Linked DNA regions of Elephas maximus indicus. The protein of the gene in region 2 binds, or shares a complex with, the protein of the main gene of each other region. Links are inferred from orthologs where the notes say so. Each region holds a gene or a part of one and is shown on either strand. Other genes may lie near its edges. The genes, in order: ORC5, ORC2, ORC4 and LRWD1.

What was found.
Region 1: the proteins of ORC2 (region 2) and ORC5 are in contact, whole or in part, in a cryo-EM structure (PDB 7JPO), measured with the Homo sapiens proteins. The link is inferred for Elephas maximus indicus from reciprocal best matches to the Homo sapiens genes ORC2 and ORC5. Residues at the interface, in NP_006181.1 of Homo sapiens: Val240, Glu241, Tyr243, Phe244, Glu245, Ser248, Asp396, Gln398, Arg401, Gly402, Glu403, His426, Asn428, Ala429, Pro430, Leu431, Met432, Trp433, Asp434, His435, Gln438, Trp445; in NP_002544.1 of Homo sapiens: Asp324, Lys325, Phe328, Leu329, Leu359, Asp360, Arg361, Ala364, Tyr367, Ser368, Ala378, Asn379, Phe381, Ser382, Gln383, Thr385, Ser386, Thr389, Asp400, Gln401, Leu402, Asp403, Tyr407.
Region 3: the proteins of ORC2 (region 2) and ORC4 are in contact, whole or in part, in a cryo-EM structure (PDB 7JPP), measured with the Homo sapiens proteins. The link is inferred for Elephas maximus indicus from reciprocal best matches to the Homo sapiens genes ORC2 and ORC4. Residues at the interface, in NP_006181.1 of Homo sapiens: Asp501, Asp504, Tyr508, Ser512, Gln518, Glu522, Val554; in NP_001177808.1 of Homo sapiens: Lys168, Asn169, Arg195, Glu200, Leu201, Lys204, Arg205.
Region 4: the proteins of ORC2 (region 2) and LRWD1 are in contact, whole or in part, in a crystal structure (PDB 8SIU), measured with the Rattus norvegicus proteins. The link is inferred for Elephas maximus indicus from reciprocal best matches to the Homo sapiens genes ORC2 and LRWD1. Residues at the interface, in NP_001012003.1 of Rattus norvegicus: Val11, Pro12, Ser13, Val14, Gln15, Phe16, Val17, Gly18, Asp19, Val22, Leu23, Ser24, His25, Ile26, Leu27, Asp28; in XP_038945348.1 of Rattus norvegicus: Pro262, Leu263, His264, Phe265, Leu266, Gln267, Cys268, Ser270, Asn273, Ser274, Pro275, Leu320, Val321, Leu322, His323, Lys324, Tyr325, Lys326, Leu367, Val369, Gly372, Phe373, Cys374, Pro596, Pro598, Val599, Ala600, Val605, Ile630.

What each region holds. Positions count from the first base shown.
Region 1 is NC_064826.1:45,402,075-45,409,416, reverse strand, and holds the start of ORC5 (origin recognition complex subunit 5), read right to left. Parts: upstream 3,044-7,342; 5' UTR 2,859-3,043; coding exon 2,703-2,858; intron 2,185-2,702; coding exon 2,092-2,184; intron 1-2,091. UniProt on the Homo sapiens protein: Component of the origin recognition complex (ORC) that binds origins of replication. DNA-binding is ATP-dependent. The specific DNA sequences that define origins of replication have not been identified yet.
Region 2 is NC_064824.1:99,650,109-99,657,623, forward strand, and holds the start of ORC2 (origin recognition complex subunit 2), read right to left. Parts: upstream 3,272-7,515; 5' UTR 2,985-3,271; intron 1-2,984. UniProt on the Homo sapiens protein: Component of the origin recognition complex (ORC) that binds origins of replication. DNA-binding is ATP-dependent. The specific DNA sequences that define origins of replication have not been identified yet.
Region 3 is NC_064824.1:44,913,851-44,922,181, reverse strand, and holds the start of ORC4 (origin recognition complex subunit 4), read left to right. Parts: upstream 1-5,325; 5' UTR 5,326-5,448; intron 5,449-8,331. UniProt on the Homo sapiens protein: Component of the origin recognition complex (ORC) that binds origins of replication. DNA-binding is ATP-dependent. The specific DNA sequences that define origins of replication have not been identified yet.
Region 4 is NC_064830.1:93,960,140-93,967,403, reverse strand, and holds the start of LRWD1 (leucine-rich repeat and WD repeat-containing protein 1), read right to left. Parts: upstream 3,293-7,264; 5' UTR 3,163-3,292; coding exon 3,083-3,162; intron 2,501-3,082; coding exon 2,266-2,500; intron 2,174-2,265; coding exon 2,057-2,173; intron 1,575-2,056; coding exon 1,434-1,574; intron 1,231-1,433; coding exon 1,126-1,230; intron 911-1,125; coding exon 788-910; intron 713-787; coding exon 598-712; intron 387-597; coding exon 277-386; intron 83-276; coding exon 1-82. Other genes in the region: ALKBH4 (alpha-ketoglutarate-dependent dioxygenase alkB homolog 4), read left to right, coding at 3,390-3,515. UniProt on the Homo sapiens protein: Required for G1/S transition. Recruits and stabilizes the origin recognition complex (ORC) onto chromatin during G1 to establish pre-replication complex (preRC) and to heterochromatic sites in post-replicated cells.

The DNA.
Region 1 (7,342 bases), on a different chromosome or scaffold from region 2:
GTGGTAGGAGAGAAAAGTTGGATATTTATTCTCTGGACTCCCCACCTGGTGTTCCACAGTTTAACAGTGGCAATATTCTTCCACCAGAGATCACAGCTCTTAGGCAGCAGCTCTTCTAAGACTAGAACTCTTGATAGGTCCTAGTAACAACTCCTCCTCATGGCTCTTTCAGGTCTAGAAATGGTAAAGTCTTCCCACTGTTACCAGTCCCTCGATGCCTCACCATTTTTACTGGTTCCCTTAATGCATCCTCAACCTTTGTAAAATAGCTCCTTCACTAAACTTACATCAATTATTCTTTTGAGTTTGCCATTTGTTTCCTGCAGGGACTCAAAGTCAAACTTGTGTTTTCCTCTAACTGAACTGCACACGTGAAAAATGTTCAAATGGCAAAGGCTGTTACTTACATTTTTACAAAACAAGAAAAAAAAAATCCAAGTACATTTGAATGTTAAAATTCTTAGTGAGAATTTCATGTTTATAATTTTAAGATGATATCCTTAATAGATGAATAAACCTAGATCAAGAAAGGAATTGTAAGAACCAGAAACTATAGTAACCCTTCTATCATAGGAACTAGTTCTTCACTTAGAGAACTATCAAAACGGAGAAAATCCAAAAAGTAATAAGGAATTAAAGATTTACTCAAGAACAAAGTCTATTTTCCTCAAAATGAGATTACAAAAGCAGTAATAATCTTTCAGAGAAAGAAAACTTGTGGCATTTGACACAATTAATAGCATCTATAGATATGTCTCTTTTCTGGAAACCATGGTGCTGTAGTGGTTAACAGCTATGGCTGCTAACCAAAAGGTGGGTAGTTTGAATTCACCAGGCGCTCCTTGAAAACTCTGTGGGGCAGTTCTACTCTGTCCTTTAGGGTTGCTATGAGTTGGAATCAACTCAATGGCAATGGGTTTTTTTTTTTTTAATAGCTATTTTTAGTGATATTCTATAAATCTTGCCCAATAGGAGACATTTTTCTCTTGCAGAGTTACAGTGTAATAAGACTACATTACACTTACCTAGGCAGTTTCACCAGCATTTACTGACTACCCCTGCCCTCCCCATCCCATTCCTTTACGAACGAAAGGTTACAGCATCTCAGTCGTGAATAAGTGCCTTGCTTACTGTATTCATGCTATCTATGACCTTTAATGCAAGCATATTCTAAGTGTCAGGGGCATAATTTTTGTGTACCTGTACAAGTAGTGATAATTATCACTTATTACACTGATTAAGCAGAAGCAAAAATTGTAAGGTGTTCAAAAACGGAATACAGGCACTAAATATAGAACTTCCTTACTGGGTTTGCATTCTTTATTCAACATATATTTTTGGAAACTTCATATAGGGAGGTCCTCCAGTGCAAATGCCTGGGCCAGACTCTTGGACACTATGATCCTGAAGTCTAGGCATCTGTGTTTTTTTAAAATGCATAGCTGATCTTGAGGATCAAAGGCTGAAATCCACAAGCACTGTGCTTGGTACTGGGGATACTCTCAAAAAACTTGACAATCCAGAGCCAGGAAAAGACAAACACAAAATCAGAGCTCACAGAATTAAGCACAGGGTACTGAGGCTGTAGAGCAGAAGAGCAACTAACACAACATTGTGGACTCAGGAAAAGCTTCCCAGAGTGTAGGTAAAAGAAAATCTGGTAACATTAATGGGCATTTGCCAAGAAATGGGGTAGTAGAGGAGAAACAAGTAAAGAAAAGCCATTCCAAGCAGAAGGGGCAGTATGTGCCAAGGCTAGGATATAGCAGTAGGAACTGTAAATAGTTCAGTATGCCATACTAAACATGCACATTCAGGGTTTAGGATTATTACTAGGCAGTGAAAATTAGAAAGAAATTTGGCTCAACTTAAACCAATGACTTTCTAACATTTAGGCTCAAGTTATCTAATAATGCCCTTTGAGGGTTACAGTCTCTGGAGTTATTCAAATAAAAGTTGACCAGGCATGTTCTATGTAGAAGATACTCCTTTAGAAGAAAGTAAACTAGACTAGATAATCTCCCAGGTCCCTTCGACTTCTAGGAATCTATGAGTAAAAATCACCTAACATCGTTTGGGGGTTATTCTTACCTCTAAGGTTTTCAACAAAGTTTGTGTGACATAGGTCTTTCCACTGGCTGTATGTCCATAAATAAAAATGGATGGAAAGCTGAAATGGTGTCTCTAGGGTAGAAAAGCCAAGCATCAGTCGGCACGTATAAAACAGAAAAGAAACTTACCAATTCACATCAGAAAGCTTTATGTACTTAAACAAAATACTCAATCAAATTTATTTCAACAGTGAGCATACAGTGGATTCATCATTGTACTCTGAACTTAACTGAATTAAACTCTAAGTGATTTCTCTGTTACGTACTTAAAATTTCTGTAAAGTTTTAGTTTACATATTACATACTACATACATGATTAAAAGGAGCCCTGGTGGTGTAGTAGTTAAGTGCTCAGCTGCTAACTGAAAGGTCAGTGGTTCAAACCCAGCAGCCACTCCACGGGAGAAAGATGTGGCCGTCTGCTTCCGTAAAGATTACGGCTTTGACATTTGACAAAGCCCAACACCCATTCATGATAAAAACTCTCAGCAAAATAGGAACAGAAGGAAAATTCCTCAACATAATAAAGGGCATTTATACAAAGCCAACAGCCAACATCATCCTAAATGGGGAGAGTCTGAAAGCATTTACCTTGAGAACGGGAACCAGACAAGGATGCCCTTTATCACCACTCTTATTCGACATTGTGCTGGAGGTCCTAGCGAGAGCAATTAGGCTAGACAAAGAAATAAAGGGCATCTGGATTGGCAAGGAAGAAGTAAAATTATCGCTATTTGCAGATGACATGATCTTATACACAGAAAACCCTAAGGAATCCTCCAGAAAACTACTCAAACTAATAGAAGAGTTCGGCAGAGTTTCAGGTTACAAGATAAACACACAAAAATCACTTGGATTCCTCTACGTCAACAAAAAGAACATCGAAGAGGAAATCACCAAATCAATACCATTCACAGTAGCCCCCAAGAAGATAAAATACTTAGGAATAAATCTTACCAAGGATGTAAAAGACCTATACAAAGAAAACTACAAAGTACTAGTGCAAGAAACTAAAAGGGACCTACATAAACGGAAAAACATACCTTGCTCATGGCTAGGAAGATTTAACATAGTAAAAATATCTATTCCACCAAAAGCCATCTATATATACAATGCACTTCCAATCCAAATTCCAATGACATTTTTTAACGTGATGGAGAAACAAATCACCAACTTCATATGGAAGGGAAAGAAGCCCCGGATAAGTAAAGCATTACTGAAAAAGAAGAACAAAGTGGGAGGCCTCACTCTACCTGATTTTACAACATATTATACAGCCACAGTAGTCAAAACAGCCTGGTACTGGTACGACAACAGGCACATAGACCAATGGAACAGAATTGAGAACCCAGATATAAATCCATCCACATATGAGCAGCTGATATTTGACAAAGGCCCAGTGTCAGTTAATTGGAGAAAAGGTAGTCTTTTTAACAAATGGTGCTGGCATAACCGGATATCCATCTGCAAAAAAATTAAACAGGACCCATACCTCACACCATGCACAAAAACTAACTCCAAATGGATCAAAGACCTAAACATAAAGACTAAAACGATAAAGAGCATGGAAAAAAAAAATAGGGACAACGTTAGGAGCCCTAATACAAGGCATAAACAGAATACAAAACATTACTAAAAATGACGAAGAGAAACCAGATAACTGGGAGCTCCTAAAAATCAACCACCTATGCTCATCTAAAGACTTCACCAAAAGAGTAAAAACACCACCTACAGACTGGGAAAAAATTTTCAGCTATGACATCTCCAAAAAGCGCCTGATCTCTAAAATCCATATGATTCTGTTAAAACTCAACCACAAAAAGACAAACAACCCAATTAAAAATTGGGCAAAGGATATGAACATACACTTTACTAAAGAAGATATTCAGGTGGCTAACAGATACATAAGAAAATGCTCTCGATCATTAGCCATTAGAGAAATGCAAATTAAAACTACGATGAGATTCCATCTCACTCCAACAAGGCTGGCATTAATCCAAAAAACACTAACTAATAAATGTTGGAGAGGCTGTGGAAAGATTGGAACACTTATACACTGCTGGTGGGAATGTCAAATGGTACAACCACTTTGGAAATCCATCTGGCGTTTCCTTAAAAAGCTAGAAATAGAACTACCATATAACCCAGAAATCCCACTCCTCGGAATATATCCTAGAGAAACAAGAGCCTTTACATGAACAGATATATGCACACCCATGTTTACTGCAGCACTGTTTACAACAGCAAAAAGCAAGAAGCAACCAAGGTGCCCATCCATGGACGAATGGATAAATTATGGTACATTCACACAATGGAATACTACACATCGATAAAGAACAACGATGACTCTGTGAAACATTTCATAACATGGAGGAACCTGGAAGCCATTATGCTGAGTGAAATTAGTCACAGGCAAAAGGACAAATATTGTATAAGACCACTATTATAAGATCTTGAGAAATAGTATAAACTGAGAACACATTCTTTTGTGGTTACGAGAGAAGGGAGGGAGGGAGGGAGGGAGGGAGACGGTTATTTACTGATTAGATAGCAGATAAGAACTACTTTAGGTGAAGGCAAGGACAACACTCAATACAGGGGAGGTCAGCTCAACTGGACTGGACCAAAAGCAAAGAACTTTCCTGAATAAACCAAATGCTTAGAAGGTCAGCGAAGCAAGGGCGGGGGTTTGGGGACTATGGCTTCAGGGGACATTTAAGTCAATTGGCAAAATAAATTCTATTAAGATAACATTCTGCATCCCACTTTGAAGTGTGGTGTCTCAAGTCTTAAACATGAACAAGCGGCCATCTAAGATGCATCAATTAGTGTCAACCAACCTGGACCAAAGGTAAATGAAGGACACCAAGGTCACAAGGTAATCATGAGCCCAAGAGACAGAAAGGGCCACATGAACTAGAAACTACATCATCCTGAGACCAGAAGAACTAGATGGTGCCCAGCCACAACCGATGACTGCCCTGAGCACAACAGAGAACCTCTGAGGGAGCAGGAGAACAGTGGGATGCAGACCCCAAATTCTCATAAAAAGACCAGACTGAGACTAGAAGAATCCCAGCGGTCATGGTCCCCAAAACTCCTGTTAGCCGAGGACAGGAACCATTCCCAAAGCCAACCCATCAGACATGGACTGGACTGGACAATGAGTTGGAGAGAGATGCTGATAAAGAGTGAGCTACTTGCATCAGGTGGACACTTGAGACTATGTTGGCAACTCCTGTCTGGAGGGGAGATGGGAGGGTAAAGGGGGTTAGAAACTGGCAAACAGTCACGAAAGGAGAGACTGGAAGGAGGGAGCGGGCTGACTCATTAGGGGAGAGTAAGTAGGGAGTATGTAGTAAGCTGTATATAAGTTTATATGTGAGAGACTGACTTGTAAACTTTCACTTAAAGCACAATAAAAATTATTTAAAAAAAAAAAAATCCACTCGTCCCAAATTCAAGTTTGTACACATTCTGTTATTTTAAAAACAGCCCGACAGCTAACAGATACATGAGAAAATGCTCTTGATCATTAGCCTTTAGAAAAATGCAAATTAAAACTACGATGAGATTCCATCTCACTCCAACAAGGCTGGCATTAATCCAAAAAACACAAAATAATAAATGTTGGAGAGGCTGCAGAGAGATTGGAACACTTATCCACTGCTGGTGGGAATGTCAAATGATACAACCACTTTGGAAATCAATCTGGCGTTTTCTTAAAACGTTAGAAATAGAACTACCATACCATCCAGAAATCCCACTCCTCAGAATATACCCTAGAGAAATAAGAACCTTTACATGAACGGATATATGCACACCCATGTTTACTGCAGCTCTGTTTACGACAGCAAAAAACTGGAAGCAACCAAGGTGTCCATCAATAGATGAATGGTTAAATAAATTATGGTATATTCACACAATGGAATACTACGCGTTGATAAAGAACGGTGACGAATCTGTGAAACATTTCATAACATGGAGGAACCTGGAAGCCATTATGCTGAGCGAAATTAGTCAGATGCAAAAGGACAAATATTGTATAAGAGCACTATTATAAGATCTTCAGAAACAGTATAAACTGAGAAGAACACATACTTTTGTGGTTACAAGAGGGGGGAGGGAGGGAGGGTGGGTGGGAGAGGATTATTTACTGATTAGTTAGTAGATAAGAACTACTTTAGGTGAAGGAAGAACAATACTCAATACACAGAAGGTCAGCTCAACTGGACTGGACAAAAAGCAAAGAAGTTCCCTGAATAAACTGAACGCTTCGAAGGTCAGCGGAGCAAGGGCGGGGGTTTGGGGACTATGGCTTAAGGGGACTTCTAAGTCAATTGGCATAATAAACTCTATTATAAAAACGTTCTGCATCCCACTTTGAAGTGTGGCGTCTGGGGTCTTAAATGCTAACAAGCGGCCATCTAAGATGCATCAATTGGTCTCAACCCACCTGGATCAAAGGAGAATGAAGAACACCAAGGCCACACAATAACTATGAGCCCAAGAGACAGAAAGGGCCACATGAACCAGAGACTTACATCATCCTGAGACCAGAAGAACTAGATGGTGCCTGGCCACAACCAATGACTGCCCTGACAGGGAGCACAACAGAGAACTCCTGAGGGAGCAGGAGAACAGTGGGATGCAGACACCAAATTCTCATAAAAAGACCAGACTTAATGGTTTGACTGAGACTAGAAGAATCCCGGCGGTCACGGTCCCCAAACCTTGTGTTGGCCCAGGACAGGAACCATTCCCGAAGACAACTCATCAGACATGGAAGGGACTTGACAATGGGTGGGAGAGAGACGCTGATGAAGAGTGAACTACTTTTATCAGGTGGACACTTGAGACTGCGATGGCATCTCCTGTCTGGAGGGGAGATGGGAGAGTAGAGAGGGTTAGGAACTGGCAAAACGGTAACAAAAGGAGAGACTGGAAGGAGGGAGCGGGCTGACTCAGGGGGAGAGTAAGTGGGAGTATGGAGTAAGCTGTATATAAGCTTATATGTGACAGACTGACTTGATTTGTAAACTTTCACTTAAAGCACAATAAAAATTATTTTAAAAAACAGCCCGAATAAATAGATTTTTAAGCCAAAAAAAAAAAAGATTACAGCCTTCGAAACCCTATGGCACAGTTTTACCCTCTCCTGTAAGGTTGCTGGAAACCCTGGTGGCATAGAGGTTAAGTGCTATGGCTGCTAACCAAAAGGTCGGCAGTGT
Region 2 (7,515 bases):
TACTGAGTGAGATCTGGATATTAGAGAGAGGGGAAAAAAGGACAAAATTTGAGCACTAGGGTCGCTATGAGTCGGAATCCACTTGACAGCACTGGGTTTGGTTTGGTTTTTGGTATGTATTAGACGGAGTCCCTGGGTGGTGCAAACAATTAACACACCAGGGTGCTAACCGAAAGGTTGGAGGTTTGAGTCTACCCAGAGATGTCCTGGAAGATAGGCCGGGTAATCTACTACTTCTCAAAAATCAGCCACTGGAAACTCTATGAAGCACAGTTCTACTCTGACACGTATGGGCTCACTATGAGTTGCAGGCGACTCAACGGCAACTGGTTTTTATGTGCCATGCACAGTTTGGGCTACTTTATACGTATTCTCATTTAACTCTCACAACAACTCTATGAGGTTTATACTTTCCATATAAACATAACACTATCTAAAATCTATACGGCCACTACCAGTAAAATATGCTTCTAGATCGTTTTTCTAGTTATGATATTTTTCCTATTCTAGGGCATCCTGTTGTATTAGAGAAAAAGTTTAATGCATCTATATGACATTTGTATAAAGAAACTAACAGTTTGAGGGGGGCTCTTTGTCAGGTACTGTATTAGGCCCTTTTACGCACACCAGCTCACTAAATCCTCAGACTACTTGAGGTAGGTATTACATATACTGCTATAATTTTCCCAATTTACAGATGAGTAAAGCTGAGGTTAGGTATTAAATTACTCGCCCAAACTGACATTATTAGAAAGTGTATTAAGGCTGATACCCAAGGCTGATTGAATCCAAAGTTCCTGATCATTCTATTATACCACACACCTCTCCCATCATTAAATAAAAAATCTGTTAACCTAAACTCTTCCTTTGATCTCTAGAAACTATTCATAATAAGTCTAATCATTTTCCCACATGGTACTTCAAATACCCAGAGATTTATATAGGTAGCAGTAATTTTCTGGTTCATTAGGTTAAACATCACCAGTTCTACAAAGCGTACTTCAAACAGCATGCCAGGTTCAGTATAATTATGTTATTTTTACTTAATTATATACTGTTGTGTTCCACAAAGGACTTGAAGCAGTGGTAATGAACAAATGCAAGAAAACAAATGATAAACTATAAATACTAATAGGGAGTGTGGACCAGGGAAAACACAAAGAATAGCAGAAAATAAAAATACAAAGAATTTTTTGGCTCTGAGCTTCCTGGAAATCAAAGTCAAAAGGAATAAAGGTCAGTCATATAATTCTCATCAGCAAAAGTTTAGTAGTTCCTTCAGGAAAATAAAAAAGATTTTCAAAGATAATTTAAAATCAAATATTCTAGGTAACTGAATATTGTCCTAGGTAATTTCCTTATGGCATTTTACATAAGAATTGCCAGGATAGAGGCAGCCTAACTCTTGTTTATAGTCAAATTCATTTATACATGAATTTCCTTAACTAAATTTTAAGGCTTCTCATTATTTAGTACAGAATCACCAAATTGAAGAAATGTCTACAAAGACCTTCCTTCTCCAACAGTCGGGGGGCGGGGGGTGGGGAACTACTCAACAATCACACAATAAATTAACGTGTCATATTTAGTGACCATTTATAACCCTTCAAGGACGCCCCTGCTGGCATAATGGCTAAACGTTTGGCTGCTAACTGAATGGCTGGTGGTTTGAGTCCACTCAGTGCTCCGTGGGAGAAAGATCTGGATCTGCTTCCGTAAAGATTACAGCCTGGGAAACCCTACGGGGCAGTTCTACTCTGTCTTATGGGTCGCTAGGAGTCCCCATCAACCAGAGGGCACATAACAACAACAACATGACCCTTCAAGGCACTGTCCTGGGTGCTTGCTGTGTAAATCAGTTCCTCTCAAGGAGTCAGGGGATAGAAAACTCACACTCAAAGTTAACTGCAAGGCAATATAGCAGCACCAAGTGTTAAAAGCAACACACTCTCCTTTGAGAACAATAAAAATCGTTGCAATTTTAACATAATCCTTTAGAAAGAAAGTGACGTAGGTTAATAGTTAAGCACCAATTTTAACATCACACCTTACAGTTGTGTGATCTTGGATCTCTTAAATGGGATCATGTGCCTGGCATATGAAAGTACTCACTAAACATTCAGTAGTATTGGTATCGTTACTTTAAACTACAATTTTACCATGCAAATCTCCTGTACATCTCTACATTTCATTCAACATCTAACAACAGAAAGTGTGCTCAATAAATGATGATTGGATTATGTTCATTTAATATGCAGTGTGTCCTTACACAAAGATGCAGGACCATGCTATTCTTCCAACTGCTATTTAACTAAGGGACTGTGTCATGGTTCCATTAGGAAATTTTGGTCTAATTTGATTTCAACTGTAAAATGAAAAGTAATACATAAGCATCCTTTTCATTTTAAAAGCTCTATCAAAGGATCCTGGTTTATCAACTTTACAACCAAGCACTGACCCAGGGTGACCGTTCAGTTAGCGGGACTCATTTGGTGCTTCCAGTCTGGGATGAAATCAAAGGTTGTCCCTACAGTGTAGTTCTGGGATGTGATCTCTGAACCCCACATCTCTCACTGTACCTGTTCTTCTCACAGGGCACTCTCCTACTTTCGTTGTACATTTTCATGTGTTCTCCTTTTACAAGCAGAGGGCTCCTTAGGCGAGGGAACAGGCATGTTGGTTTCGGGCGTCCCTAGCATGGAAAGGCTATCACTGCCGGACAGACAGACGAACAGTCTTCCCAGAGGGCGCCTCTTACCGCAACAAATACTACGGACTTCGCCCTGGGCCTCAGTTGCTGACCACCGGGCTGCTCTCCGCCGGCCGGGGGTCCCCGTGCCGCTACGACAGGGGGCTAGCTTGGGGAAGGCGAAGCGGGAGGCGCAGCGACCCTGCCCCAGGTGCTGAGAGGAAGCCCTGAGACACAAAACCCGAAATGCGGACGCCCCAGCTCGGATGCCAAGGCTGTGCTCATCGCAACTCACCTCAGAAGCCCACAGCCAAGCAGAAGGAGGCAGGCTGCCCCGTCGCCCCTCAACGTACCGCTAGGTTCCCGCGGGGCGTGGCCCTGGCCCCCTAGCACCAGCCGGACGCCTCCAGGCTGAGCCGTTGCAGCAGGGAAAGCTGCTTTGGCCCCAGCCAGAGGGACAAGTACTCAAAAGGAACGCCACAGGAGGGCCGAGGTGGGAGAGGAGGCCGGCTGGGGGATGGGAGGCCTGCCAGCCGCACACCAAATCTCCCGCCCTGCTCAGGGGCGGTGCCCGGGACAGCCAATAAGAAACGGAGCCGGCTGAGAACGACGGTTCTGCGGGCCAGTCGGCGCCGGCCAGCCGGCCCCCCTACACCAGGAAATCTGAGGGAAAACGAATCCTCGAGCGTTGGAGTTGTGGGCTTTTCCTTTCCTCTTTCCGTTTCCGGGGAAGGGAGAAGGAAGTGTTGGTTGTATCTGAGGAAATCTGAGATGTTGTTTGGAAAAACTGCGGCTGAGCGTTACTCTATTTTGGGGCAATCTTAGAAGTGATTATTGATTTTAAAAATTTTTTTTTTTTTTTGAGAAAAAATACGGGGACTACTTGCGTTTATTTATTTATTTTTCTCTCCTGTTGTAAAAGGTAGGATCTTGTGCATCTCTAGGATTTGGAGGAGGGGAAACAGCCCTCTATAAAGAAGAGAATTAGGGCCAGAGCACTGAAGATGGAGATGGGATCATACTGCTAATAGGATAAAAAGGCAAGATAAATAGAAGGATTACAAACCCATCGCCAGTGGACTCAATTCAGACTTACAGAAACTCTATATGACAGTAGAACCACCCCACTGGGTTTCCAAGGCTGTAAATCATTATGGAAGCAGATTGTCACAGCTCTCTCCTATGGAGCAGCTGGTGGTTTCAGAACTTTCAACCTTTCCGTTAGCAGCCATTTCAACTACTGCGGCCATCAGGGTGCCACCAGGGCTCCTTAAATAGAAGGAATAGAGGCAGAAAAAGATAATGAGGAAGAAAAGGAAAAGAACCTGGCTGGGATACAGTACTACTCACCAATAATACTATTTTTTAAAAGTGTGAACATACAAGCAATTAAAAGAACAAGACAGGAGCTAAGTTAAAACAAACACAGGCCTGCAGAGAGGACAGCCAATAAGAATCAAGCCTGTTCTTGTCACAGAACTCCAGCTAGTCCCAGGAATTAAGTTTACAGGAACCTCTGAAGTCAGATGAGCAGCATGAAATCTACTAGCTAATAAGCCATACCCTTGCAGGCTGAGCTTTAAGTCAGTTTTAGTATCACCAAACTTTTGAATAAAGCTTCACCTTGCAAAGAGGCAAAAAGACCAAGAAGAAATAGGCTGTACAGAACCCAGAAGAAAATTTATTCCAAACTAGCAAAATCTCAAAGATAAAAGATTTTATATCAACAAAACAAGGAATATAAAGAAGAATGTGATAAACACCTTGTGAGATTGGTTTGAAGGCTTAGGACCACAATAGTGGGACAATTCCATCAACATAGTTCATAACATAGCATAACATGGTTCATAAAGTTTTTGTTCTACACCCTAGTTTGGTGAGTAGCATCTGGGGTCTGAAAAGCTGTGAGTGGCTATCTAAGATACAACTGTTGGTCTCTACTTGTCCAGTACAAAAGAGAAAGAAGGATACCAAAGACTTGAAGAAGAAACTACAGAACTAATAGTCTACACAAACCATGGCCTCATCTACCCTGAGACCAGAAGAACTAGATGGTGCCCTGCTACCAATACCAACCTGACCAGGGACACAATAGATGGTCCCAGATAGAATGGGAAAAAAATGTTGAACAAAATTCAAATTCTTAAAAAAAGGCCAGACTTACTGGAGAAGTTGAGACTAGAGGAACCCTTCAAAACTATCACCCTGAGATACCCTTTAACCTTTGAACTGAGACTGCTCTGGAGGTCACCTTTCAGCTAAGTAACAGATGGGCTCATAAACAATATTACCTGTGTGTACTATGGATGTCAGAAGAGACTCTGAAACTTGCTCTTGAACATCGAATAGTTAAAGCAAAAGGAAGAAATGAGGAAGTAAAAGAGTTGAACAGAAGGTCTCAAAGGGCAGCTCGAGAAGGCAAAGTAAAGTACTATAATGACATGTGCAAAGACCTGGAGGTAGAAAACAAAAAGGGAAGAACACGCTCGGTGTTTCTCAAGCTGAAAGAGCTAAAGAAAAAAATTCAAGCCTTGAGTTGCAGTACTGAAGGATTCTATAGGGAAAATATTAAACGATTCAGGAAGCATCAAAAGAAGATGAAGGAATATACAGAGTCACTGTACCAAAAAGAATTGGTCGACGTTCAACCATGTCAGGAGGTAGCATATGATCAGGAACCGACGGTACAGAAGGAAGAAGTCCAAGAAGGGACTGGCAAAAAACAGGGCTCCAAGAATTGGTGGAATACCAATTGAAATGTTTCAATAAACAGATGCAACACTGGAAGTGCTCACTTGTCTATACTAAGAAATTTAAAAGACAGCTACCTGGCCAGTTGACTGGAAGAGATCCATATTAATGCCTATTCCCAAGAAAGGTGATTTAACTGAATACGGAAATTATCAATATCACTAATTTGACACACAAGTAAAATTTTGCTGAAGATCATTCAAAAGCAGCTGCAGCAGTATATCAATAGGGAACCACCAGAAATTCAAGCCAGATTCACAAGAGGACATAGAACAAGGGGTATCATTGCTGATGTCAGATGGATCCTGGCTGAAAGCAGAGAATACCAGAAAGATGTTTACCTGTGTTTTATTGACTATGCAAAGGCATTGGACTGTGTGGATCATTATAAATTATGGATAATACTGCAGAGAATGGGATTTCCAGAACACTTAATTGTGCTCATGAGGAACCTCTACATAGTTCAAGAGGCAGTAGTTCAAAAAGAACAAGGGGATACTGTGTAGTTTAAAATCAGGAAAGGTGTATGTCAGGTTGTATCCTTTCACCATACCTATTCAATCTGTATGCAGAGCAAATAATCCGGGAACCTGGACTGTATGAAGAACTGGGCATCAGAATTGGAGGAAGACTCATTAACAACCTACACTTTGCAGATGATACAACCTTGCGTGCTGAAAGTGAAGAGGACTTCAAGCACTTACTGATGAAGGTCAAAGACTGCAGCCTTCAGTATGGATCACACCTCAATATAAAGAAACCAAAAATCCTCACAAGGGACCAATAAGCAACATGACGATAAATGGAGAAAAGATCGAAGTTGTCAAGGATTTCATTTTACTAGGATCTACAATCAATGCCCATGGAAGCAGCCGTCAAGAAATCTAAAGATGCATTGCATTGGGTAAATCTGCAGCAAAAGACCTCTTTAAAGTGTTAAAAGGTAAAGATGTCAACTTGAAGACTAAGGTGCACCTGACCCATGCCATGGTGTTTTCAGTTGCCTCACATGCATGCGAAAGCTGGGTGATGAATAAGGAGGATGGAAGAAGAATTGACACCTTTGAATTGTGGTGTTGGTGAAGCCTGGTGAATATACCATGGACTGCCAAAAGAATGTACAAATTTGTCTCGGAAGAAGTACAACCAGAATGCTCCTTAGAAGCAAGGATAGCGAGACTATCTCACTTGCTTTGGAAATGTTATCAGGAGGGATCTGTTCCTGGAGAAGAACATCATGCTTGGTAAAGTAGAGGGTCAGCGAAAAAGTGGAAGACACTCAACAAGATGGAGTGACACAGTGGCTGCAACAATGGGCTCAAGCGTAACAATGATTTTAAGGATGGTGGAGGACTGGGCAGTGTTTCATTCTATTGTACGTAGGGTTGCTATGAGTCAGAACTGACTCGACAGCACCTGACAACAACACTATGTTCCTTTAAAAAAATTATCTGTATGAGATCAAATGGTCAACAGTTATCCTGAAGCACAGAGGAGAAGGTAAGGGGAGGTAAGGAAACTAGATTAATGCAAATGGAACAACCAGAATGGGAATAATGAGAATGCTGACACATTGTGAAAAGCGTAACCAATGTCACTGAAAAATATGTATTGAAAAAAAACCCAAAACCAAACCCACTGCCGTCAAGTCGATTCTGACTCATAGCGATCCTACAGGACAGGGTAAAGCAGGATTTCCAAGAAGCAGCTGGTGGATTCAAACTGCCAACCTTTTGGTTAGCAGCCAAGCTCTTAACACTGTGCTACCAGGGCTCCAAAAGTCCCCTTAGGAGAAGATAATGAGAAAAACAATATGTATAGAAATTGTTAAATGGGAACCTAATTTGCTGTGTAAACTTTCATCAAAAAACAAAATAAAATATTAAAAAAAAGAATGAGTTATCAAATTTAGATTTTTAAAAGTAATTCTTAAAGTTTTATTTAATTTTGAAACAGCAGACTGTAACATCAGTATATCAGCTGCAGATTTTTTTTCACCAATGACTCCTCTGTCAACACAAAGAGGAAAATCAGTTATGTCTCTACATATTTTTCCTCAGGGAGTTGACTGACTT
Region 3 (8,331 bases), about 55 Mb from region 2:
ATTTAGTTTTATTGTACATGGGTTCACCAAGAGTTGGAGCTGAGGTGACGGCAACTAACAACAATTATGATAATTAACTCACACTGTTAGATTTGCTTAAAATATGGTAGAAACATCTAAAAACTTAAAAGGAAAATGTATATCTTTCAAGAAACCATGAAAAATAACCTATTATATAAGATGTAAAAAAAAAAGTTACTTTTCAGAAAAAAAAATTATAGAGAGTTTTTCTGTTTTTTTTTTTTTTTTTTTTAAGAACCATTTAATAAGAGTTACTTTAACGAACGGTATCGGTGATCTTCAAATGAAAGCATTATGATCAGCTCTAAAACCCAGCCATGGTAGCCACATGCTGTTTTTATGGCCTAAAGTGAGTGAAGTATATATATAGTAAAAATCTCCAGAATACATTATCAAGTGGAAAATTTTTCTTTATGTTTGTATTTTAATAAAATACAGCAATAACCTTCTTAACATGCATTTTTCCACCTAACAGTATCCATTTAACTAATAAAATTTATGTAGAAACATCAACATAATGATATAATACAATTTGAAACACAAGATATCTGTTTACATTAAACTGCCAAACCCAAAACCAAATCCACTGCTATCGAGTAAATTCCAGCTCATAGCGACCCTACAGGACAGAGCAGAACTGCCCCATAGAGTTTCCAAGGTTGTAATCTTTACAGAAGCAGACCGCCACATCCTTCTCCTATGGAGCAGCTGGTGGGTTCAAACGGCCAACCTTTCGGTTAGCACCTGAGTGCTTAACCACTGCACCACCAGGGCTCCTCGTTAAACTTCAGGGACCATCTTTTGCTTCTCAAATGCCTAAGCACAGTATCTGGCAGACAGTAGGTGTCAACAGATGTTTAATAAATAGCTAAATACAATTTGTTTTCGCACATACATTCAAAATCCAGACAAGTTTGCAAAAGTACATTAGTTGGACATAGGCTTTCTGGCTGACTTCATTGGGTCCCACTGATGACTAGGAGTAATTCTTCATATCCATAGAAAACTGGAAAGCTGATAATTGTCTGGGTAAGGACCAAAAAAACAAAGTCAGGGAAACACGTCACCTAAGTAACAGTTGCTTTATAGAGCTGGTAAAAGCGGCCTATGCCCTATTACTGCAGCAGTCCCTAAAGAAACGAAGTTTAAGTGTATCCTGAATATTTGCTACTACCTTTTTAAGTGAAATTTTTTGATCATCCCTTATTCAAAATAAATCACTTTTGTCAAATGTATCCTGTACATGGATGAGAAGGGAATATATGCATTTACGTCTTATTATGAGTAATATATTGCTGACAGAATTTAATCTGGCTGTTAACTGGAAAAAGTGAGAGCAGCAGTGAAAAAAAAAATTGTAGTAGTGAAGACACTGGAGTAGTAAGGAGAGGAAAAAGAAAGAGATGGAGAGAAAGAATCCCATATGTGTGAGGAAACAAATTAAAATACACCTAACTCTAAAACTAAAAGGTATTATGGCAAATAACTAATAGGGCCTACTATGCACCAGGCACTGTGCTAGGAATGACAGATATAAACGTTAAAAAATAAAATTTTTTCCTTAAGTAGTTCATAGATGAAGAATCAAAAGTAAACATTTGTAATACAGGTGGCATTCTACTTCTTCTTATAAACATGGATCCTTGAGAGAAAGATGCATATTTAGTGTTGAATTGGAAGTACTGGCGATAAAGTAAGCATTAAGAAAAGCTGAAATGATTCTCAAAATAGCAATAATCCACAGTGGGTAAAACCAGTATTTCCTAAAGAAAATCAACAACAAATTACTAAATTATAAATGGACACAGTTATGGTTTTAGAGCTATGTGCCTTATTATCAGAAGAATATGCCTTCATATAAAACAGTTAATTGTAATAGTTTCATTTCGGACAAAAGAAAATGAGGTAGTGTAACAGAGTGATGGTCAAAAGACTCGAGTTCAGGTCCCTGCTCTGTCTACTTACAGGCCATGGAAGCCTGGGCAAGTCCTTTAAGCTCTCTGAAGTTCAGAATATGGAAAACGAAGAGTTGGATAAAGTGACCTCCAAGATCATACCTAGCTGAAAAAGTACAATCCTAAAATATCAATAGTTCTCAATGCCTAAAAATTAAGCCATAATAAAAACACATTAAAGAGTTTTTTAAAATTTAAATCATTATCTGACTTAGAGAAAGTCTGAAATCATCAAACCATAAAGGGTTACCCTGGGGGGAGGGTGGGAGTGGGAGAAGGAATATCTTCAAAGGAAAAACAGAACCTAAGGAAAGGTACTATACTCAAGACTGTAAGTTTTTACTCAGCTGCATATTGAGCAACTATCTTAAACCACCCCAATTAGCTATACAATTTGCTTTACTTAAAACTGATTTCTTCACTAAGTTCTACTTTTCTATCTCCTAAGTTAAAGTTTTTTTGTTTTGTGTTTTAAGTTAAAGTTACTGAGGTTTTAAGTGAAGACAAGAAATCCTAAGTGGACTTAGAAGTATTGATGTAGTGGGAAAAACTTGAACTTGGTACAGGTTTCTGCTTAAGTGCACCAAGTACACCCCAGAGAAAGGTAAGAACTGTTTGAATTTATAACAGAAAGGAGAGAAATAAGATCATGTTGTTTACTGTTATACAGTTTCTTTCCTGTGTGTAAACATCTAATTGCACACAGTTGGTAATTAAAATTTTACTATTCTGCTATTCTGCTACTAGAATGAGTATATTATGTCTCGGGATTTTCATCAAGAAAATAAAAAAATAAATAACTATTATCATGTCTTTATATTATTTACGTCAAATGTCCTCCTAGGTTTATTTTTCTTCAATCATTTCTAGTTGATTAAATTGCTGTTTTCATATTGCCAGTCTGATCACAAAATTGCTACTTTATAGAAAAATATTTTTTGCTGACATCCATTATGGGATCAGAAATACCAATGCTGTTACAAAAAGGGTGTGAGAATGTGTGTGTTTGAGTGTGTGAAAGAGAGAGTGTGTGTGTGGGTATATATGCATGTATGCATCCATCTTCAAGGAAAGGATAAAGAAATTTATATAGGAAACAAAATGACACTTTCCAATATAAGCCCCAGTAAAAGGCCTACATCAGAAACAAATTTTCTAGTATTTGCGAAATAAAATGTCACACTAAACATGAGAGCCATTCACTAAGACTATACCATGTAAAAATGGAGCATAGTGATTTTCATGAAGATTGTTATTCTATAAACTTAAATCTGGATTTTTCTTTTAGTACATTTCTAACTACAATTAATACACTAACTACAACTTCATGATTTCTTTTACTCAGGAACATATTTTAGAAATCTGTCTCCTTTCACATACAGTGAGCAATTTGGTTCAGTACCCCATGAGATGAAAAACTCATCTCAATTTACAACAGTAAATAAATAATTCAGTTAAAACTGAAAGTGGTACCAATGCAGCAAACTATTGATGGAGAGGTTTGGCCTTCCATGAAGCCAGAACAACATAAAGTTTTCAATGGCGATTACATGTTCAAAGAAGTTACAAAGATTAGAAAAATTACCAGATCAATTATGAAATAACTACTATTCTCATCTTATGGAAAACAAGTTATCAGGAACATGTATTGACAAAAAACAATACCAGTGGTATTTAAAGTTTAAGATTTTTGAGGTTTGAACTTATATACTGATACATGAATTAAAACACAACACAAAATGCAATATAAAAGTCAAAACCTAATGAAAGGCCTCTATCAACTAAAATTTTGAATATTTCCTATGCAAGTGAGACAAAACGAAAAACCGGAAAATTAAAACCCCAAAGCAAAAACCAATCAAGTCTGTTCCAACACTGAAGTCAATATCCAAATCACATACAGGGCTAAATAGGGGAAAACACTCAGGTCTACAAATGGATAACCAGTTTCAATACAATCCAGACCCCGACATTTTCCTACTCAGAAACAAATGCAGTGGAGCTTTTTCTGAGGAAAGAGGAGAAAAGCTCTCCAAATGAATTTTTTTAAGTGACATTTAGAAAGTGTGCATCTTTCTGTCTCTTTCCCTGGCGCCTCATTGGAGGAAGGAGGGGGTTGTTTTTGTATTCTCCCCCATTGGAGCAAGACACAATCAGATGTTAGCTGGAGAAGAGAAACCACTTTTGACAACAACAAATAAAAATAAAAGTGCCCTTCCTGCCCTGACAGGATGGGCACCCCACCTCGCACACCCCTCCCCACTCCAACCCCTCCTTCACCCCCCAGCACCACCCCCGAGCTCCACTGCGTATGTGGTTTGGTGTTACTGTTGCCCCGGAGTGAAAGTCAGAGCCAGAGGAAGGCAATGAAGCCCCCACAGACACACTTACCTTTCCTGCCCCCCACTTTTGAGTCCCTTCCCTGGAGCTGTGGAGGATGACACAAAGGGTAATAAAGGGGGGGAGTAGAGGAGGAGGAGGCGAAGGAGGAGGAGGAGAGCTGGGGAAGTGGCTGCTCCTGGGTGTAGTGAGATGTCTCCAGCCAGGGCCAAGCAGCAGCAGCAGCAGCAGCACCAGCAGCAGCAGCAGCAGCAGCAGCAACAGCAACAGCAGCAGCCAGCAGCAACAGCAGCAGCAGCAGAGAAGGGTCTGTGTTGCTAAGAGGCTTTTGGTCTCTTTCTCTCCTCCTCTCACGGCCAAAGAGGAGGAGGGTGGAGGGGGCTCGGGAGGGAGGCGAGTGGAGGGGTGAGGGGGTAGGAGTCGTGGATGGGGGGTTTCGAAGAAGAAGAAACTCCTTTTCCTTCTCTCTCAGGCTCAATCCCCCTCTCAGGGCTCCCGGCTGGAGGGTGGGGGAAGGAGCTCAGCCGCCTTCCCCCCACCCCCCCTCAATTCAAGGTTGAAGTGGGGTAAAATTAGTGTCCTGTCCCTTTAAAAATAGAAATAAAAGGTGCCCCCCCTCTGCCACTGCCTCTCTCTTCATCATCAGCTGCTGCTGCTGCTGGGGTCTCTCTGCTTGGGGGGGAGGGGGGGCTCGGGTAGAAGAGATGGGAGGCACTCACTGCGCATGTCCCTCTCTGACGGGAGGCTGGTTGGTTGAGGGCAGGAGGAGGGGGAGGGGAGGAAATGAGATGGTTTCCCAGAAGGCGCAGAGGCGCTCGTGACCCGGAAGAAGTTGTAGCAGGGGTAGGGGGCGGGGGCAGGGAAGAGGAGGAAGTCGTTACTCTTTAACTACCCCCGCCCCCTCCTCCCTCCTAAGGGAAAGTGGAGGAACGGAAGTGGGCGTGGACAGAGGCGAAAAGAGGTCACGTGTTTGGGCGCGAATGGGGTGGGGTGGGCGAGGCGGTGCGTGAGCGGGGCATGTCGGGAGTGGTTGCGTGCCGTTGGCACCAGCTGGTGAAATCCAAGCTAAGTAGGCGGTGAGGCAAGCCTGAGAAGCTGTTCCCGGGGTCGCTGGATTTCCGTCTGTGCCCTGGTAAGCAGGATTTTATTTGAGAGGTAAATTGGGATAGCTTGGCCTCAGAACGAGGGACAGGGACGCCAGTGTTGAAAGACGAAGCGAAAGGGGGTGGATGGGAGGCTGAAGAGACTGGGAATGCGGGGACGGGGCAGGCTTGTCTAGGCCAGACAGGCCAGGACCAGGCGGGCTCGTTCTGTTTCATGGCCTCATGGTGAGGCCGCCGCCGAATCTCTGACGAGCGCAGGGAGTCTTCAGGAGAGTAGATTTACAGCGGGATGACGACTCAACTTGGTGGTGAACGAGGAACGTGATGCTTGGGTGTAAGAAATGGGATCTGTGGAGCCTCAGCAGGTGACTTGCTAACTGCTTCCTCAGCTCGGGCAGGGGCCCTGTCTAGGGACAGAGACAAACCCCGTGTGTGCATTTTGACCAGCTTCTGGCACCAGATGCATTGCTTGTATTTTACGTGTTGTGCTCTTCAGTCCTTACCTCGCAACCCTTCTTGGAATTCTGGAGCGGCTTGAGGGAAGGAACAGTCAGGGAAGTCTTGAGTGGAAGAATTTCCCTCCACATCTTGTGTTGCTATTGCAACACAAAACCTGTGCCTGTTCTCAGAGAGGGATATTAGGTTATTTAGTTCTGGGTCATGAGTTTTATGGTTGGTAAAGAGAGAAGCGACATCATAAAGTTTTCTTTTACTGTAGTGTAAATACCGTGTTTTTAAAATGAGTATTTTGTCTTAAGTTTCTTTGGGTCCTAGCCTTGGATTTTAAGCCTTTGGTTGCTCCTCAATTAAGTGCTACGTTTTTATTTTGGGGGGAAATAATGAGTGCTGCTATCAACACAGAATTAATTAAAAATATTTAAGAATTCATACACTTAAATTAATAAAACTTTATTGTAAAATAACAGTCCTTTTTTCACCTTCTGTTTATACAATCTTAAAACATTCCACATCTTTCAAATACCTTCTTTTGTAAAGATACTTTGAAAGATTATCATCTAAACTTGCTCATGTTTATTGCATTGATATTATTTAATTCTGTAAAGGGTCTTTTGGGATATGCTATTAACGTTATTTATTTTCTGAGTTTGACTTTCTGTGTATTTGGCAGTGAGTCCTATTTATCATATTCTTGTACTTATTCCTTTCTGAATGTAATCATGTAATATGGACTCAAAATTAGAATCCTGTGCCTTAAGTTTTTTTTTCTAGTGAACCAAATAGTTTCCAACTTATAACAGAAAATAATTATAGTGGGGCAGTTAAAGTGCCTAAGATACAATTCTTTATATCTTTTTTTTTGTGGTAAAATACTGAATATTCAGAAGAGTGCACAGCACATGGAAGTGGAGTATAATGAACAATTATATAAAGCAAGCATTCTAACCACTACCAAAGTCAAGAACTAGAACATTGCTGGTGCCTGAGAATCGTTCCTCCCTTCGTGCATTTCTAATCATTCCCTCCTTTTCACCCTTTCTGGAGGTTAACACTGTTCTGATTTTTATGGTTTTTACTGCTTTTCATTCTAGTATTTCTTTTAACCACTTATGTTGGTATTCCTAAAATACAGTTTTGTCTGTCTTTAAACTATGTGTAAGTGAAATTATACATTATCATGTCATGTCTTTTTTCTCTGAAGTCGCTAAGACTTAACCTTGTTATTATATTTAGCTGCTCTTCATATATTTTCATTGCTGTGATGACTATAGTATAGCATTTATGGAGTATGGTAATTATTATATAATATAGTAAGTCTTTTTGTGAGTAAGCCTCAACTAATTTAACTCGTCTAATGCTGGTGAAAGGAGCCCTGGTGGAGCGGTGGCTAAAGCGATCAACTGCTAACCTGTGATCTACTGCTAAGGGAAAGGTCGGCGGTTCCAAGCTACCAGCACCTCTGTGGGAAAAAGATGTGGCAGGCAGCTTCTGTGGATATTTACAACCTTGGAAACCCTATGGGTTTGCTATGAGTTGGAATCAATTCGACAGTAGTGAGTGGGTTATGCTGATGAACCAGAGCCTTGTTAGAGCAGTGGTTGAAGCGCTCAGCTGCCTACCAAAAGGTGGGCGGTTCAAACCCACCACCTGCTCCCCAGGAGGAAGATATGGCAGTCTGCCTCCATAAGGATTTACAGCCTTGGAACCCCTATGGGGCAGTTCCCTGCTCTGTCTTACAGGGTGGCTGTGGGTTGGAATCTACTTCACAGCAGTGGGTTTGGTTTTGGTTAATGTTGATGACCAGTTGCTGTCGAGTTGATTCTGACCCTAGTTGGCGCAGTTTGCCCTCAACTACTAAACTAAGGTTGGTGGTTCAAATCCACCCACCCAGTGGCACTGTGGAAGAAAGAAAGGCCTGGCAATCCATTTCTATAAAGATTACACCCAAGAAAACACTATGCAGCCATTCTACTCTGTAACACGTGGTATCAGTATCAGTCAGGATTAACTCAACAGCAACAGGTTTTTATGGTTTTTCTGTTATTTTTAATGCTGATGAATACTTGGATTATGTCCAGCATTTAGCAATTATAGGTATGCTGCTATCAGTGTTCTTTTACATATATTTTTATACACATAAACATGCGTTTTTGTACGGTATATATGTTTATCTTCAACTTCAGTAGATTTTGCCAACGTCTTCCAAAACAGATGTACCAATGTATACTCCCACCAGCAGGATTTGAGATTTTCCTTAATTTCTACATTCTCACCAACAGTATGTGCTTTTTTCATTTTTGCCAGCCTGATGAATGTAGCTTTATCTTACTGTTTTTTAATTTGCACTGCCCTGTTCACAAATCCAGTTGTCCAGTAAACTTTCAAAAGTTTATTGGACAACTGGATTTTTTTAAATTGCCATTTTAAGTCTTTTGCATAGTTTTTCTATTAAA
Region 4 (7,264 bases), on a different chromosome or scaffold from region 2:
CAGCTGCCAGCACGCTCCAGCGCTTCTTGTGGCCTGCTTGTGTGACGACTGTCACGGCTGTCCAGGCCACTGAGAAGAACTCCTGGGGTGTGTGGAGTAGGGGAAGGGGTCACTGAGGGCATCAAGCTACATGGGTGAACATGCATGACAGATTGAGCCTGGGGACGGAGGCCCAGCATAAAAGAAAAAGGCCACATGGTCAGGAGCCGGCTGAGTCTAGACCCCCCATCCCAGGACTCTGTGGGCCACCCTGCGGGACATGGCTCTGCTACTCACCTCGCCTGGCACCTTGTACTTGTGGAGCACGATGCCTGTCTGGCAGTCGATCACACAGACGGCCTCCCCGCCGCAAGTGGCCACAGTCTGGGATGTGTCCTCCGAATGCCCTGTTTGGAGGGGGTCAGCCTAGTGAAAACATTTTTGTTAAAGTTCTTCCCTGTGGCTGCCTCCTCCTGGCCCTGCTGATGTTTTCTAAGCTCTCTGGCCCTCCCAACTCCCCAGTCCACCAAGGCTGCCCCTCTAGGGTGCATTCCGGCACCCTCTATCCAGAAAGCCTGCTGGCTCTTGTTTCCCGTGGCCCGCCCACCAAGGACATACCCTCCTCCCCGGCCGGCTCGAATGCGCAGGCCCACAGCTGGGTCTGGAGATCCTGGGGGTTGTTGTTCTTGCTGTGGCACTGCAGGAAGTGCAGGGGCTCCAGCCTCAGGCCAGCCTGGGGACAGAGGGGTCATGGCTGCCACAGGCCCTGTTCACCCCACCACCTGCTCCCTGCCATTTGCCAGCTTACCTGGCTGCCGTCAGAGCCCATGGGGCCGCCCTCCACCTGGGCTGATGGGGAGGTACACACCCGCTTGTTGGGAAAGAGGTTGAGTGGGACATCATGTGGCCGTTTCAAGGCCATCAGCCTGGCCTGCGGAGGGGGCAGGGATAGGCTGAGGGCTTTGTGACAATAGGCCCATCTGCCTGGGGCTTCCTTCCTCCCCGTGACAGGCTGGACCACAGCCCCTTGTCACCTGGGCTCATTTCTAGGACCCTCGCTCCCCCATGGCTGCCCTAGGCAGGCAGGATGGAGGTAGCGGGCACACAGAGCACTGGGGAGCCACAAGGAACCTTACTCGTACTCACCCTGGACTCACGGGTGGCTGCGGCTTCCACAGGCCTCTCTAGGTTGTCTGCCTTAGGCACCTGGGTCCCACCAGAGGCCACCAGCTCCTCAGAGATCATCCGTACCTGGGTGGGGCCAGGTAATCCGGAAGCTGGGCACAGTCCTGAGTGACCCCAGCCTGTCCTTCTGGAGTTGGGAAAGGGCCTTCTCTAACCCCCCTACTCCCCACAACTCCTTACCCCTCACGGGCCAGAGACCCCCCCCAGTGCAGCTATAGGCCACAAGAGCTAGCGAGGAAGTAGGAGAACCAACCTCCTGAACGACTTACCCGCCACTGGGTGAACTCGCTGAGGGACTCAGGCCCATAGCGAACATCCCTGACAGCAGACCTCACAAAGTCGGCCTGGACCTTCTCAGCCTTCTCCTTGGGGCCTAGGGCAGCCATGAACTTCTCCCAGTGAGCAGTGACCTGGTACAAGAGGGACCAGATCCAGGTCCAGTCCATCCAGTCCACCCCAGCTCTCCTGGGCCCCCCGAGGCACCACTGCTCCCAAAGTCATCACAGCCACAAGCATCTCGACCTCATCACCTGGAAGCCTGTCTGAACCACAGCCTTCTTATCTGCAGGCTGCACAAACCTAAGCAATATGCGCGTATCAGGAACAGCCCCAGAATGGGAAGAACTGCCCCAGGGTCAAGCCTGGTAGGATACTAATGAAAATCACCCAGCCTCTCCTGCTGGGCCCTGCCTGCAAACCTGGAGGGCAGGGCTTCCAAAGACCACAGCCCAAGCACCTGACTTCAGAGGAGAGGCAGCACCTGGCTCAGGCCAGGCTTAGGGATGTAAGGGCCCCTTTGTGTCAGGACAGCAGCCCTCAGTGTCCTCCAAATGTCTCATTCTGCACTCCCTCCTCAATGCTGCCTCCAGCTTCCCAGAGACACTGCCCTTACCCTGCTGGTCAGCTCCCGGTTCAGGTTCTCCACCTGAGAGAAAGTTGCGGAAGCCTCTTTGCCATTGACCTTACGGAGCTTGGGCAGGAGAAAGGAGACTTTCAGGTTGTCACTGACCTGGGAGATAAGGGAACCATGGCTCAGAGGCTGCCCATCTGATCCCAGAAGAGTCCTGGCCCCAGGGCCTGGGGCCTGGGGGAGGCACTCACCGTCAGGAAGGGGTTGCCCTCCAGGCTGAGCTCCTCGAGCTGTGGGAACTGGCACAAGAAAGTGACGTCCCCCAGCTGGTTGTTGGCACAGCGGAGGATGCGCAGGTGGGACAGGCCCAGGTTGGCAGGCAGTGTGTCCAGCTGGTTGTTGGACAAGTCCAGCTCTTGCAGCTGCCTTAGGCGGCCCAGGAGACTGGGGTCCAAGTGCTCAGAGCGTAGCTTCAGCCCTGACAGGCTGAGGTGAGGAGGGAGGCAGACGTGGAAGGCTCAGGGGGCAAGCAGGGGGCCGGCATGCCTCCCACCCTACACCTCCAGCTGCCCCTGGCCTCAGATGGCCTTCTCCCCTCACATTTCTGGAACATGCACAACCCCTTCCTCCCCACCCCTCACACTTTTTATTTACTTATTTTTAATCTTGCCATACTTCAGGGCTCAGCCGAGCATAGTCCCCTCCAGGATGGTTTTCCTGATCCTCTGGGGGCTCCCTGTGCTCCCCACGGCCCCCCCACCCCAGTTATATCAACACTGTCTGTCACCCTAGCAGTCAGGGCACTTTTCCGGAGTAAGGCCACTCGGGGCCCAGGGGGCACACGGGTAGGGTGGCGGTTCGGCCCCGTGTCACTAGAGGAAGGCACCTGGCGATGGGGCGATGGCGAACCGAAGAGGCGCTAACCGGGATGGGCATGGAGTCGGGGAGGGCCCCAGGCTTTCTTCCCGACCCCCGGCAGCCCAGGCCCGGGCAGCCCAGACAGCCTGGGTGGCGGGCTGTGTGGCCCTGATCCCGCGGACACAACCTCGCCCCCGGCCCAGCCCTTACTCCAGGCTGCGGATCTTCCCAAGCCGATCGCTCTTGGGCCGGCCACGCTGCATCAGCAGCCGCGTCGAGAGGGGGCCCATGGCGAGAAGGCGTGGCCCGTGCCGCCACCAACGGCAGCTCCAGCGTTCGAGAAGCCCGGTACTGTCGCCCGGCGGTGAGCAAGCCCAGAAGGCGGCGCCTCGCGAGCCCGTCAGCGGTGAAGACCGGAAGGAAGCGGGCCCTCGGACCACGTGTCCAGCGGTGAGGACTACAACTCCCAGCGGCCCACGCGGCCCCGCGCCTGCGTCCTGGCTGCCCGGGCGGGGCTATGGCGGCGGCGACGGTGGCAGAGGCACCAGAGGTCCTTCAGGAATGTGGCTGCAAGGGCATCAGGACCTGTCTGATCTGCGAGCGGCAGCGCGGTGGTGACCTGTCCTGGCAGCTCCCTCCGCAGGTAAGGACTGGGACATGGACCGCGCCCACAAACTCCATTCTACATATGGGGAAACTGAGGCCCAGATTAGTCACGAGACGGGCCAGGACCAGACTGTCAGGAGCCCGGGGCGTTGCAGGGTGAGGGGATGAGGGCTTTGAGGAGTGGTCTTGGGTGTAGAGAAGGGGCTCCTCCACGTGGGGTGTCGTCCAATCACAGTTCACCTCCGGGACCTTGGGGAGTGTGTCAGCAAACCTCGACCTAGCCCCTCCCTGTCTGGTGCTGAGCTTCACGGGACCTGGGGAGAAGACAGAAAGAGTGAGGGTGGGGGAAGCCAGGGCAAAGGGGCCCCAAACAACTTGGACCGAAATTGTCCAAAAAGAAAAAAAAAATCGTTGCTGTTCAGTCAATTCTGACTCATAGCGACCCTATAGGACAGAGTAGAACTGCCCCATAGAGTTTCCAAGGAGCGGCTGCCAGATTCGAACTGGCGACCTGGTTAGCAGCCAACGCTTAACCACTCAAGGAGAATATTAATTCCTATTTAACCAAAAACTTAACCCACTGCTGTGGAGTTGATTCTGACCAATAGCGAAAGTGGGTTTAGGGTTTCCAAAGGTGTAAATCTTTAGGAAGCAGACTACCTCATCTTTCTCCCCTGGAGTCTCTGATGATTTTGAATTGCGGACCTTTTGGTTAGCAGTGATCACTTTAACCACTGCGCCACGTGGCCTGGAAATATTTTAGTTGGCTGCAAGCACGGTCCATGTTGGAGCTGCTTAGACAAAGGCCTGGGGGAAGTGCATGTGCTTGGAGAGTGGAGTGAGGCTCAGGCTGGAAAAAGCAATGGAGCCTGCCGACGGAGACGCCTGTGTGTCCACTGAGCAGGGTGGATGTGTCCTAAAGTCCACAGGGAGCTCCTAAACGGTCAGATGTGAATTTTAAAAAGCTCCTGGGGTAGACTGAGAGGCATGGTATGAAGGTATGGAGGCTGGGAAGCCAGTGGAGAAATCTCTGCGGTGTTCACAGTAGAAGTGCTGGGGGCCTGAAACAGTTCAGGCTGGTGGCCATAAGCCTGGAGACATGGGGCACTGTGGGGTGGCACCATCCCAGCTTGGATGGTTGTTGGATGAGGAGAGCAAGATGTCCAGTGCGAGGGGTCCAGGAGACAGGAGATGGTGGCCCAAAGCTCAGGAGACATCTAAGCTGAAGTCAGAGGCTGAAGGTGAAGCTTCAGGGGGCGAGAACAGTGAGAGAAGAATGGAGGACCAGCAGTAGGGCCCTGGGGATGGGAGCAGGGAGAGAAGAGAGGCCACAGAGGGCCAGGGTGGAGCTTTGATGGGCTTTGCAGTCCTAGCTGGGCAAGCTCTGGCCAGAGCCTCACATGCAGGAGCAGCTATGGTCCCTACCTCCTGGGGTTGTCCTGAGGATTAAAACTGAGTGGTACATATAATCCAGCAAATACTACGTTAGGTTCTAACTCTTACGTTAGTCAAGAAAGCCAGAAGAACTTATGGTGGGCCCCTAGATAGTTTATGATAAGGAGATGACTCGGGATGGGGGCTGGCCACACAAGAAAAGACCAACCATGTGATCAGAGGTTGGGACTTTGAGCTATGTGATGTCAGCTCAGCCTCCAGGGGAGAGGAGGGGGCTGGAGATTGAGTTGAACAACATACAGAATGATTTAATCAATCATGCCTACATAATAAAGCCCCCAATAAAACTCTGGACACCAAGCTCAGGTGAGCTTCCTGGGTTGGCAGTACTCCTTGCGTGTACTGGCACATATCGTCGCCGGAAGAGAGTAATTCATCCCTAAGAACACAAAAGGTTCGCCTTTGGAACTCTCCCGGTTCCAGGTTCCACTCTATGTGTCTCTTAGGCTGGTTCTGATCTGTATCCTTTGGCTATAATAAAACTGTAATTTTAAGTATAGCACTTCCCGAGGGTCTGTGAGTCGCCTTAGCAATTTATATGAACCTGAGAGAATCCATGGGGACCCCCGAATTGGCAGCAGGCTGGACAGAAGGGAGGATGGCCTTCTGGACCCCTGAATTTGCAGCTGGTGTCTGAAGTCTTGGGCAGACTTGGCAGTCTGGAGGACTGTGCCCTTAACCTCAAGTTTGGTTAAGTCATTGTAGACATTATAAAGTGTATTTCATAAAAAGAACAACATTTGCTATAATAAAAAGCAGAATATAGAATTATATGTACATTTATAGCCAAGTTAAAAAAAACAGCAGTCGCATATGGGAAAAGACAAAGATAACATGTAAAATTCCAGCTGAAGGGTTGGGGGTTCAGGGCTGCCCGGGGTGCCTCAGAAGAAAGCCCTGGCAATCTCCTTCCAAAAAATCGGCCATCGAGGACCCTATGGAGTACAGTTTTGCTCTGATACATATGAGGTCACAATGAGTTGAAGCTGACTCAATGGCAGATAAAGGTTAGGGAAGAATTAGACATAAATGGAAGAAGTCAAGCTGCAGATAATTTTATCATGAAGAAAAACAGGCTTTTTATAGGCAACAGAATGTCAAAGTAACAACATGGGTGGCCAGTGAGAAAAATATACCATACCATGATATTCTTTAATAAACCCTTCCCGTGTCTAAAGGAATGCACAAAGTTTTCCTCTTGTAATGGATCCATTCGCTCCAGGGCGGCAAAGAAAGCTGCATCTTCACTTCTGACAACCCAACAATTTGCTCTGCACAGTGAAAGTATTGTGTGGGCCCATGTGCATAAGGAGAAACAGCAGAGACCAGCTGTTTTGATCAGAGGCCTAAACGCCAGCAAGAACGACATAACTCGGAGTCAGCAAGACACTCCTTTTCCATAGCTCTTGCAAGATTTCAAAGTCACTGCAAGGAAATAAAACACACGTCTGTAAGAGTTCATTGCCCCCGTGTTTGACTTTTTACGCCCCCGAAGGACCATCACACCGTGCCGCCATCTTCAAGTATAAGTCTGAAGCTAAGTTTTTCTGCTCTGATGCACTGCTAGGCTGCATGATTGGAACTTGCTGTCCCACGCACTGCCTTCGTATCATCCCAGCCGAGAAACAAACTTTGCCGGGAGCTAAAAGCATTGCCTTACTCCTAATGAAGGGATGCGGCCAGGCTATTTTTAACAAATACCAAATATTAACACCAGGCCGAAAGTATTTCCACTACTACAGAGGTTTACCAGTGGCTCACCAAGGAGGTGCAGGCAACTGTCCAAGCCTGAAATGTGTTTTTTTTTTTTCCTTAGTGAACACTGTTACATGCTTCAAGACAAGATCAACCTAAACAACTCCTTGCTTAAAGGCAAGTCATTCTTCCTCCATTCAAATAAATGGCTGGGGAGGAGTACTTAAAAAAAAAAAAAAAAAAGGCGCTATTCCTTTCTGTACTAGAGACCAACAGTGTTTGTACCATGTTCTTTAGCTCCTTTGAATTTTAAAGAGACCCTTGTAATACTTTCATCCCCTGGGATAGTAGTAAGAAATGCTTTTAAATCTGCAATGAGCCAATTTCTTCCAAGCTTTGTGGGTAAGCAAATACCATTTAAGGTTGATAATAAACGTGCATAATTTTACGACCAAATAAACTTCTAATTGATATTTCCCCTCAAAAGAAAGAAAGAAAGTCGAAGAGGAAAGTGTATCAGAAGCCGAGGGAGGGATTTTAGAAGCAGTAATAGGGTCGCTATGAGTCGGAGTTGACTCGACGGCAGTGGATTTGGTTTTTTTGGTTTCGATCAGCAATACGGAGCCCTGGTGGCAC